3 linked regions of the Drosophila melanogaster genome follow. The protein of the gene in region 3 interacts with the protein of the main gene of each other region in a pairwise test. Each region holds a gene or a part of one and is shown on either strand. Other genes may lie near its edges.

Evidence for each region.
Region 1: the proteins of Mst84Db (region 3) and H15 interact in a two-hybrid assay, tested with the Drosophila melanogaster proteins (one large-scale study listed by BioGRID).
Region 2: the proteins of Mst84Db (region 3) and slow interact in a two-hybrid assay, tested with the Drosophila melanogaster proteins (one large-scale study listed by BioGRID).

The regions. Positions count from the first base shown.
Region 1 is NT_033779.5:5,402,380-5,406,141, forward strand, and holds the start of H15 (H15), read left to right. Parts: upstream 1-1,900; 5' UTR 1,901-2,500; coding exon 2,501-2,813; intron 2,814-3,762.
Region 2 is NT_037436.4:4,382,698-4,386,459, forward strand, and holds the start of slow (slowdown), read left to right. Parts: upstream 1-1,744; 5' UTR 1,745-1,930; exon of another isoform or gene 1,931-2,190; intron 2,191-3,762.
Region 3 is NT_033777.3:7,364,578-7,367,406, forward strand, and holds Mst84Db (Male-specific RNA 84Db), read right to left. Parts: upstream 1,051-2,829; 5' UTR 999-1,050; intron 946-998; 5' UTR 929-945; coding exon 704-928; 3' UTR 583-703; downstream 1-582. Other genes in the region: Mst84Da (Male-specific RNA 84Da), read left to right, coding at 1,356-1,394, 1,450-1,602.

The sequences.
Region 1 (3,762 bases), on a different chromosome or scaffold from region 3:
TAAACATTTTTATTAAATATTTAGATAATAAACACATTCATATCAATATGTTGTAAACTTTAATATAAAAGTTACCAAAACTAAATTTTAAGATAAATGTATTGTAACCAGAACATACAAGACATAAAATTTAAATAGTTTACACTTTCGATAATGTAGCGAAATTATTCAACTTTTCTCGCAGTGCTGGGAAAAGAGGACATCATCCTAGGAGGACGAAGGGCGCAGCTGACGAATTGTGAAAAAAGTCTGACGGAGGGAAACAAGATGGTGGCACCACCAGAGCCCCTTCCCCTCACCCCACCAGTTTCCTCCCTTTTCCATGGGTCTATAATTTTCTGCTGCGTTCACACGCCATAGTCGCATTTTTTTTCCAACCATCTTTTGTTGTTTCCTTTGAGCAAACATTTAAATTAAAAACATTTACATACGCCGGTGGGCGGACAAAAGGGAGGAGTGCCAGGAACCCAGATATTCAATTATGATTTTTCAATTGGAGGACCCAGCACACGAGACACTTTCTCAGATAAGTCCTGTCGCAGGACTTTTTGTTTTTTCTCTTGACGGTCTGGAAAATTATAGGGTGATGGTTAGGATGTTTAAAGGACATTTAAAGGGAATGAATAATTACAAGAATACAAATACATAAATATATTTTTCTTGGAATTTGGTGAAAATACAACTTGTAACGAAACAATTCAATACATTTTTCATAGCTCAAAATTGTACAATTTTTTTGAATAAAATGAGAAAAATGTGGAAACAGAAAACATTTCGAAATATTTTACATAAAATGCTGGCAAACAATAAAATGATGGCAAATGCGGGATAACCCCTTTGTTCATTTTTTACATTAATTTCCTCTCCTGAATTTTATAGATTTCCCTACCATGTTTAAATATGCTTTATAAGGTTATGTTTATAAAACATTCATTTCAATGTTATAGGTTAGTTCTTAATATAAAATCGTTTATTTAAGACTTAAAAAATATGTAATCAAGAACAATAATATTAATTTCAGAGATACCATGAAATTAAATATTATTAAAAGAATTTTTCAATATTCTCAATTTATACAGTAAACGTAACTAGAACGAAACTCACTCGCTTTTCCACTCAACTCAGTGCGCTGTGGTGAATAGCCAATGAGAAACGGAATGGAATCGGACCGAGTTGAGAATAATTGTAAATAGTCGACGAAAAGCGGTGAAACACACCCCCAACCCCGACCAACAAAATCCACTCACACTCACCATAGCAACAACAACAATGAAGCAAAGAACTGTCAACAGCCAAAAACAAAATGACGAATTTATGAACTCCTCAGCGCGCTCTCTTTCGCGCTCCCTTGCTTCTAGCGGCACGAGTGAGATGGCAGCAACAAAAGGCTCTCACTCAAATACGGCTATATAGAGTTGTCTCGCTCTAACACGCGGCTAGCTTATGAATTGGTATTGTTTTGAGTGCATGGGAATGTGTGTTCGAATTGGAAAATGGAAATGAGTTATGCCTCGACGCCGACGTCGCTGCAAGCAGCATGGGAATGCACTGCATGTGTGGCCATCTCGCTCACACCAGTCTAATTGAAAACCGTATTTTTTCCCATATTTCTTTTGCGGTTTAAACTGGCGGTTTGCCTACGTCACGTAAGGAAAGTTTCGGGCCATGTTCTCTGGAAATGTTTCCTTACGTCGCGTTACGTGGTGTTGAAAACCTTTCGCCGTAAGACACATCAGCTGTTGTTGTTTCTGTTTTGGGGGGTCAGTCGACGTCGCAGTTGGCTTCGCTGTCGGCGTCCTCGTATTTGTTGTTGATTTTTGCGTTGCGTTTTTTTGTTGGTTTTGTTGGCTTTGGCTTTGGCGCTTTTGGCGTTTACATGGCGAAAAGCGAATTGGGATTCATTCAATGGTCAGCTGCGTGACTGTGAAGCAGCGACGGCGCTCCGGAATTTCCCGTTTCCTACTCGAGAATACGCAAATTACGATAAATAGCACGAAAAACCGGAGACCGCAAATACGGGCGTAAAGTCGTCAAGTCGCAAAGTGTGTCGTAAAACGTTGGAAAAAATAATACACATTATTTGCAAAAAAAAATTAGACAAATTTTATAATATTTTATTATTTAATAAAAAATCAAACGGCACAAGAATAATAACATACATACATATATAAAAAGGAAGCAAAGCAACTCTGTGTGATAAAGCAGTTTAAATTATTAAAAGCAAAAGCCGGCAAAAAATCAACAAATATGTTGAAGAAAATTGTAAAGAATTCAGTTTAAATCCGAATATAATATTTTAAAGAGCATTAAACAAACAAGTCCCAAAATAGTAGAACTAATGCAAATACAAACATATCAAATAATGGGCAACAAATAGGCAAACGATAAAGAAAATACCAACAAAAGCGGGAAAGAAAGTCCGAAACCTTTGAGAGCATATATTTGGCAAGAATTGGCTAAAATCCGTGCAGCAGCATTACCAATTGGTCTCGGCCCGAAAATGCTTTTGAGCAATCAGCCGGCGAATACGAAACCGCAGCAAACGCCTTCGCCGTCGCAGACGCAGAACTTCAAGTCGAAGCTGCAGCAGCAGATTGTTTCGGCAGCGGCGGCGGCAGCGGCGAACATAGCCAACGGCAGCAGCCATCATCATCATCATCAGAACCATCATCATCACCATCCGCTGAACAACCATCATAATCACAATCACAATCAGCACAACATTTCCTTCGCCACGGATTTCTCAATTGCGGCGATTATGGCGCGCGGCGGAAACGCCCCAAGCAGCCGCGAACCTTCGGAACGCAGTCTGAGTGAGTAAAGTAATTCCCGCACTAAAATATCAGGCCTACATCGCAAACTAGACTCAAGAGCTGTTCAAAAATAGCCAATGCATTTTAGGGCTTCATTTTCGATTGGGTTTCAGAACAATAAGTATCTTGATATCGTTAGTTTGCATGAAACGAGCTTAAAAACCAATCTTCATTTGAGTCCCATCGCTTCATTCATGAACGTATGTTTCTTATGATTCTTGAATTCATATTCAGCTCCTTACTACAAACAAGTTTCACTCTATTAACATATTCAATATTCCATTCTTTCGATTGAGACTAATAAATTGGCCAGTCAAAGTTTGAAAAGATTTTAACTCTGGCATATCTAGCATGTTGATGTTTATCCCAAGTTACGGGCTTGTCTGCTGATTTAACTATAAATATTTACGATCCAGGATTAAAATATGAAAGGCTTGATAAATGATTGAAAATAATCAAGCTGTGACGAAGAGCCAATTATCACATTTATGTATTATTTATGTGAATTTTTTAATTCAGATTTCAGATACAAGATTAGGAAAGTACACTCAAAATCGAAATAGAACTCGATAAAATCACACATAAGAGCAGAAACAAAATGCATTGCCAGAAAAATATATGTGTAGCAAATTGGCTTTGAATACTTGAGACTTGATGAAGAACAAAAGCAAATTAGTAGGTTAGTGTGCTAGCAAGAAAATTGAAATGTAGTTGATATTTCTATATATTTCTAGAAACACGTAAAGCAGTTAGGAAAATATATAAACATATTTCATTGGCTTTGGTAAAGAGTCATGTAATCGATTGCTTAGTAATATTCACTTGCTTTATTACCCACCTCTTGAAAAACTGTCGCAGCTGCATTACATTTCTATATTTTCCACATTTTTTGCTGCCCTTTTTGTGCAATATAAATTATATATTGATGACAATGCAACGTTGATGACTT
Region 2 (3,762 bases), on a different chromosome or scaffold from region 3:
GATGAAAAAGATCGTGATTATGACGAAGGCGATGGGCAACCCACACGAAATGCTAATGAATTGTTATCAGTTAATTGTCTGAGCGGGGTACCCGGCTTTGTTATCTCAGCTCTTATGCTTTTATGCTTTATTTGAATTCGATTTGGGAACGCGGCGTGGGTGTTCCCCAAACCCAAAGTCCCCACTCAAGTGGCAGCTAATAGCCCAATAAATTGTGATTGTCGGCGGCGAGGAAACCGAAGCAACACACACATAATATTAAGAGAAGACCGTAGTACCTTTGTGCAGCTAAGCGAACTGTCAATGGCTGGCACATTGTTCGATTTATGACCATTCTGTTGGCCAGGGAATGTGCAACCAGTTTATGGGATGGATTCGCACGGACGAATGCTGAATGCTGGATGTTCCACAGCGCAGGCGCAAATCCTTTTGACATGTCCAATGTGCTCAGCATTTAGACAGTGGGCAGCTATTCTGTTGCCAGTGGCTAATAGTATGTGGCAATGCACTTGGCGAAACTATTGTATCTAGCACAATCAAAAAAGTTATATACAAAAGTGATTATGCTTAAGGAAAGTACTGTACATATATAATATAACAGACTTACTTAGGACATGAATTAAAGTACATTTAAAACCTTTATCATGTTTAACCCATGAATTTTTGATTAAATCTAGACTTAGTGGCATTTTTCGAGTGTGGTTGACAGTAGCACTCTTATGATGACAACGACAGATCCAGCACCCGATATGGACAGAAGGGCTGGAAACGAGTTCTTCTTCGCTCTGGGACTCGGATTCTCGATGTGAAAGATCAGCGAGCCGTGGCCTAAACTGGCTGCCCGGCAGCGGTGGGTAAATATTTAACTTAACAACTTGCCACCGACCGAAGAAGATGCAACAAAAGCAGCCGTGGCCGCAAGAACAACAACGGCGGACCATAAAAAGCACAAACCGCAACTTCCAAATAGTTTGAACTGTGCAGAGAGTGCAGAGATGATCCTCCTATAAACAAAACAGCTGTAACGCACTCAAAAACCAGCCAACGACCAGCCGAGGGCATACCTGCCCACTGCGCCGCCCACCACCCACCACTGCGCCCCTCAGCCCCACCACAAAGAGTTCTTCCGCCTGGCGAATTCATCCGCTCCACAGTTGCATCGAACAAAGGAAGCCAACTTGTGCCCCCATCGGTCCAATTTCGTTTGAGCGAACCAGCCAATGTGCACCGAACATGGGCTTCGACTGGTCTGACAGTGCAGACCAGCTGGCTATTTCTAGCTGTAAAAAAATATATACAGATTATATACAGACTAATAAGAATACACCTGAGAAACATATTAAAATTCCACTGATATTTAGCAAGATAAATTGAGTAGTAAAATCTTACATATTTGTAGAAGTTTGTGTGGCTTCTTATTTTAGAGAAATTTACCCTTTTCAAAATTTTGCTAAAATATCAGGTAAAGATATTTTTAAAAACAAATATATATGTAGATTTCAGAAAACTCGACGTATTTTCTACGGCATCTACAGTTATCCCGATTCCAAAGAAGTAAACAAAAAGTAAAGTGTGCTACTGATATATGAATGAATCAATGTTTAAGAAAATAACTAAATATTTACCGATGTTCGGAGTGTTCAGAGTATACAATCTATATACTTTTGGCTCCACTTTCCGACTGCACTGGCAGCGCCGTCGATCGCCGATCGTTAACTGGACTTTCGGTTTCGGCTGTGCATTTTCAGTTCGTCTCGGGACTTCTAAGCGATCGGTTTGGATTTCGTTAGCTCCGCCGCGCCAGCTGGAAATTTGTATCTCAAAGATCGCAGCCAGTTCGCTCGGTTTTTGTGCCTGGCATACGGAAGCGGCTAACGCAGAATCCGGAAAATCACAAGAGCCGTATATATTTCACAAATATATATATATAGTATGTTTCGAAAAGGCCCATTCACGGCCATTAAAATATTTTATTGTACAAAAAAGGCACAGTGCCGCGTATCTGCTTAATGTCAGCGCGAAAACTCAATTCAATTTATTGTTTGTGATTGCAAATTTGGCATAATTGTGCTTTGATTTATTCGCGCGTGTTTCGGGTCATCTCTATAAAGAGGAATTTTAAATCTGGGCAAGATTATCTCTGTTTTTCTCTGAACACTGGCTGGGTCAGTTGGAATTTGTTCGCCGTGTGTAAGTCACATGCAAATAGCTTTAATTAATTGCAATTACTTATGATTTGAATGTGTGTCAAAGCGCGGTGCGACATTTCCTAGTGCATTAATCTTGCTCAAAATCGCATTGCCTATCCTGTCTAGGAGTTACATGTCACTTATGGACGTAATTTGCATTTTTGTGGAGCGGCTAACTAAGTTGGCTTACCATTTACATATGCGCTTTGGCTGCCAAACAATGCCATAAATGGTCTAAGAATTAATTATCGTGAGAACTTCAAGACAATGTCTTTATTAAATAATTGTCAATAATTCTGAGTAGTTTTCAATGTACAATTTGTGATAATTTTCTTGGTAATTTTCTACGGTAATTTGCACCTTGATAAAAAGTGTTTAAGACAGTGTAATTTGTTTCCGTGTTTTCTTCAATGCAAATTATTTATTTCGAAATGGCAATAAATTGCTCAATAAATTTTATTTCTTTCAACAATGATCTGATAAAGGATTAATTCATTGCTTCGTTTTTGCGTAAACAAAGATTGTTCTGCGGAAATCTTGTAATTTATTTTTACTCTTTTAGATAAGTTTAAAATATATATATTTTATATAACCATTTTTCTTCACTATCGAAATGAACATTTTATAGCCCAACATTATTGCTGACATGAATGCAACCAAAATAAATATGTAAATCTTGTGACGTTATCGCCATCAAAAATTAGTGTAAATAATGTGACAAAGCGGAAAACGACACAAATCAAAAATAGATGTATCAATACTTTCCATTGTTTAGACTAGTTTGGCTAACAATTATGCATACATATGGCTAAATGAGTTTCGTTTTTTTTTTGTTTGCCCCAACGTGCATTCTGCATTCTCACACATATCGTTTGGCAGGTGAGCAATCAGAAATCGAAGTTTGGGGCACGATCCGTGGAAAGCGATCGTGCCTTTCTGCGTATCATAGTGTCTATACAAATGTTATTATGGTTAACGCCACTGGAAAGTGGGGTGGAGTTTGTTGTTGGTTTTCTTGTTTTTCCTCGACTTTGCTAATTAGACAAAGTCATTTCCATAAATTACGCAGCTAACGGTAACTGGGTTTATGACTTTTGTCCGGCTTGGTCGCGGGTCAACATGAACCATAGCTATATGCATACATATATATGGATATATACTATTTGTTCATATGGGCAATGGGTCTGCGGGGCACGTGTGGGCGTGGCCTCCGCCCCCTTGCAGCTGCAAAGCAATTAGCAAAAGACTGGACATGCCAGCAAATTGAGCTCTGCTGTTGCAGTTTTTCCTTTGGCCTTTTTTGGGTCGCTGCAATTGTTATTGAAATGAGTTTTCGCGTTAAAAACAGTTGAACTTGCTGGAAAAAGGTACATGTATCTCACAGTTATCGATCACAAATGAGTAATTGGCCATTAGAAACGGAATATGGTCACAGGATATCAAATAAAATGAAATTATTATTGAAGGCTATACTCAGCAGTATCTGTAATTATAAATCCATTAAATCTAAAATTGTGCAATATTTTTCTCAGTGTGCTAAAGGGGGTTGGTGAGGCATGCGACTTTTGAGATG
Region 3 (2,829 bases):
TTAACTTTACAATAAACATTTTTACCAACGGTCTTTAGAAGCCAAAAAAAAAAAACAAGTATTTGGGACAAAACAACAAAATTTTGATGCGAGCAGCACAAGGGTCGAGATGAGAATGATATATTTTCCGAACTTACAAGGTTAGGTGGGTCTGACAGGTCAAGAACGATTTCCATAGCCTACTATGAATTCGAATTATGTTTATGTACAGCGGTTGATGGTTAAAAATAGTTATTATTGTTATAGAATTATTGTTATCGGACATTTGTCCGTTTGCAGACAAATACTATTATTGAATGAGGTTTAAATTCACGGTTGCAGGTTTTATACCCGCCACTCGTAGAGTAATAGCTATGCTATAGTGAATAGAAGAAAAGGTTATTTATTCTTGAGCTGGATCACAAGCCTAGTCGATATGAACGTAGGATGTTCCTCCGCCCCCTCTAACGATCGCAATCCACCAAGAATTGACAATTTTAATTTTCGCAATTATATTACATAAATTATTATTGTCACGCATTTGGTATCCATAGCTAAGACAAAGGTTGCACCATTTAGAAGAGAAAAACCATCGGAAAAGGTATTTTGAAATTCTTATTTTATTGACTAGGCCCGCGAGCTAAGAAGAGTTTATCCGCATTCAGTCCTAAGTTCCACTTTGTGGTTCACAGGAAAAAGATATTTTACATGTTGTGGTTGTTGTTCAGCACCCGCAATATGGCCTACAAGGTCCACAGCAAGGTCCACAAGGCCCGCATGGACCACAGCCCCCGCAGCAAGGACCGCAAGGACCGCAAGGGCCGCAAGGCGCACAGCAAGATCCACAAGGACTACAGCAGGAACCGCAAGGACCACAGGGTCCGCAAGGTCCGCAAGGACCGCCGCACGGGCTACAGGGTCCGCAGAATCCAAGGGGTCCGCAACACATGATGGTTCCGTAAAGTTCTAAGAAAAATTTTGTTAAAACTTCGCATGCTTACACTTTGAGAAATACTCACTTTGAACCTAACAAAGAAATAACTTAGGACGAAAAAATATTTCGATGATTACAGGCCGAGAACCAAAATAAGAATGATGGAAACCTGACTCACAAGTTGGTATATGAATTTGACAACTGTCGAAAATATCCATAGCTAACTAGATTATGGGTTTTGGGATACCAGAATATAATAATAATAATGAATATAATTTGTCGGATCATATTAGCCTTGAAATTCTCATGACTGCTGTCAAATGAAGCTTCGGCTAATTTGGATCACATTCAGTCAGTTCTCCGTTCCACCTTCAATAGTTAACACCTAAATTTTCGGTTCCTTTCGATTCCGGTTGGGAAATATCTTTTAAGAAACAAAATCATGTACATGTACGTCAACCCGAATTACGTTTTGGTTGGGGTATGTATTTATCGGTCTCGTAAGTCGAGTGAATACTTTTAATATGATTTATCAGGGCCCCTGCTGTGGCCCCTGCGGCGGATGCGGACCCTGTGGTGGATGTGGCCCCTGCTGTGGTGGGTGTGGCCCCTGCTGTGGTCCTTGCGGAGGATGTGGACCTTGCTGCGGCGGCACCAGCAGTTTTTGCGGTTGCGGTCCTTGCTGCTAAACCAGTTGACCCGGAAACCTGTCGGAATACTTCCGGGAACTATGTAAATCTCAAAAAATAAACTGTGTGGGAGACAACAAATTATATATTTTTGTTTCTTATTGAAATTAATAATGTAATGTCCTAGTCAACGTAGCTTGGTAGTAGCGGCATCGAGTAAATCAGCTTGTTCCAAAAGTTCGGATGGCTTCTCTCCAGATAGGTGTTAAATGCCATGTAGGTCCTTAGCTCGCTATCCAGACTGTCGAAGTTCTTCACGTTTGGATAGAGCACCACTATCAGACGCTTGCACCGATCGCGTGAGGTGGCGTGGAGGGCCAGTCGGAACTCGAGGCGACCCCAAGTGGAATTCATAAAGTTCTCTGTCATGAGGACAATAATGCGCCGCGAGTCCTTTATAGATTGACCAATGCAATCGGGAATAGATTCGCCCGCCAGCCAGTCTCGCAGGTAGAAGCAGAGTTGGAACCTGGGCCTACCACGTTCCAGCCTATCCACGAACTCCTCCAGCAGAGCCTCGTCCTTATGGGTAAACGCCAGAAAGGCATCGAACCTTTTGTCCTTATCAAGTTCCCGCTTGGCTGACAGACTGAGACACACACCGTGCTCATAGAACCAGACCAGGACCGGTTGTCTGAACCATATCAAAAAGTTTAAGGCAATGATCGTGGCCACTAGGGAGATCGCGAGTGCCAAATAATAAAAGAGGTCAGATGGACACACAATATGCTGATTAATCGAGACTAGCTTCTCACCATTACTGCACTTTATCTCAGTGAAGTCTACTATACTTGAAGACACACTCTTCATGAAATTTATCTTTTCTATATCGTTGCAAGAACAAGACCAGGGATTGTCAAGCAAATGCAGCTTTAACGATCTGTTCTCGATAGAAGAACGATTCTTCTGTGACAGGGCCGTAAGGTTGTTATTCCTTAGGTCCACATAGGTAACCCTGCTTGAAAGTGAAGGCATCTGTAGAAGTCCTTCTCCTCTGCAATCGACAATAAATGATGGCCATGTCAAGTTATCCAAGCAGCAGACACAAACATCTGGACAATCCGTTGGAGATATATTGCAACGTTTCAACGTGACGTCATACTCAAGGGGTTCGTGATCTCTCAAAATGGAAAGGACTGATCTCGACTTACAGTCGCAATTCCAGGGATTCCCAGAAAGTTTAGTTTTAATTGAATTTTTCTTAAGGTAACTCAGGACTTTGTCATC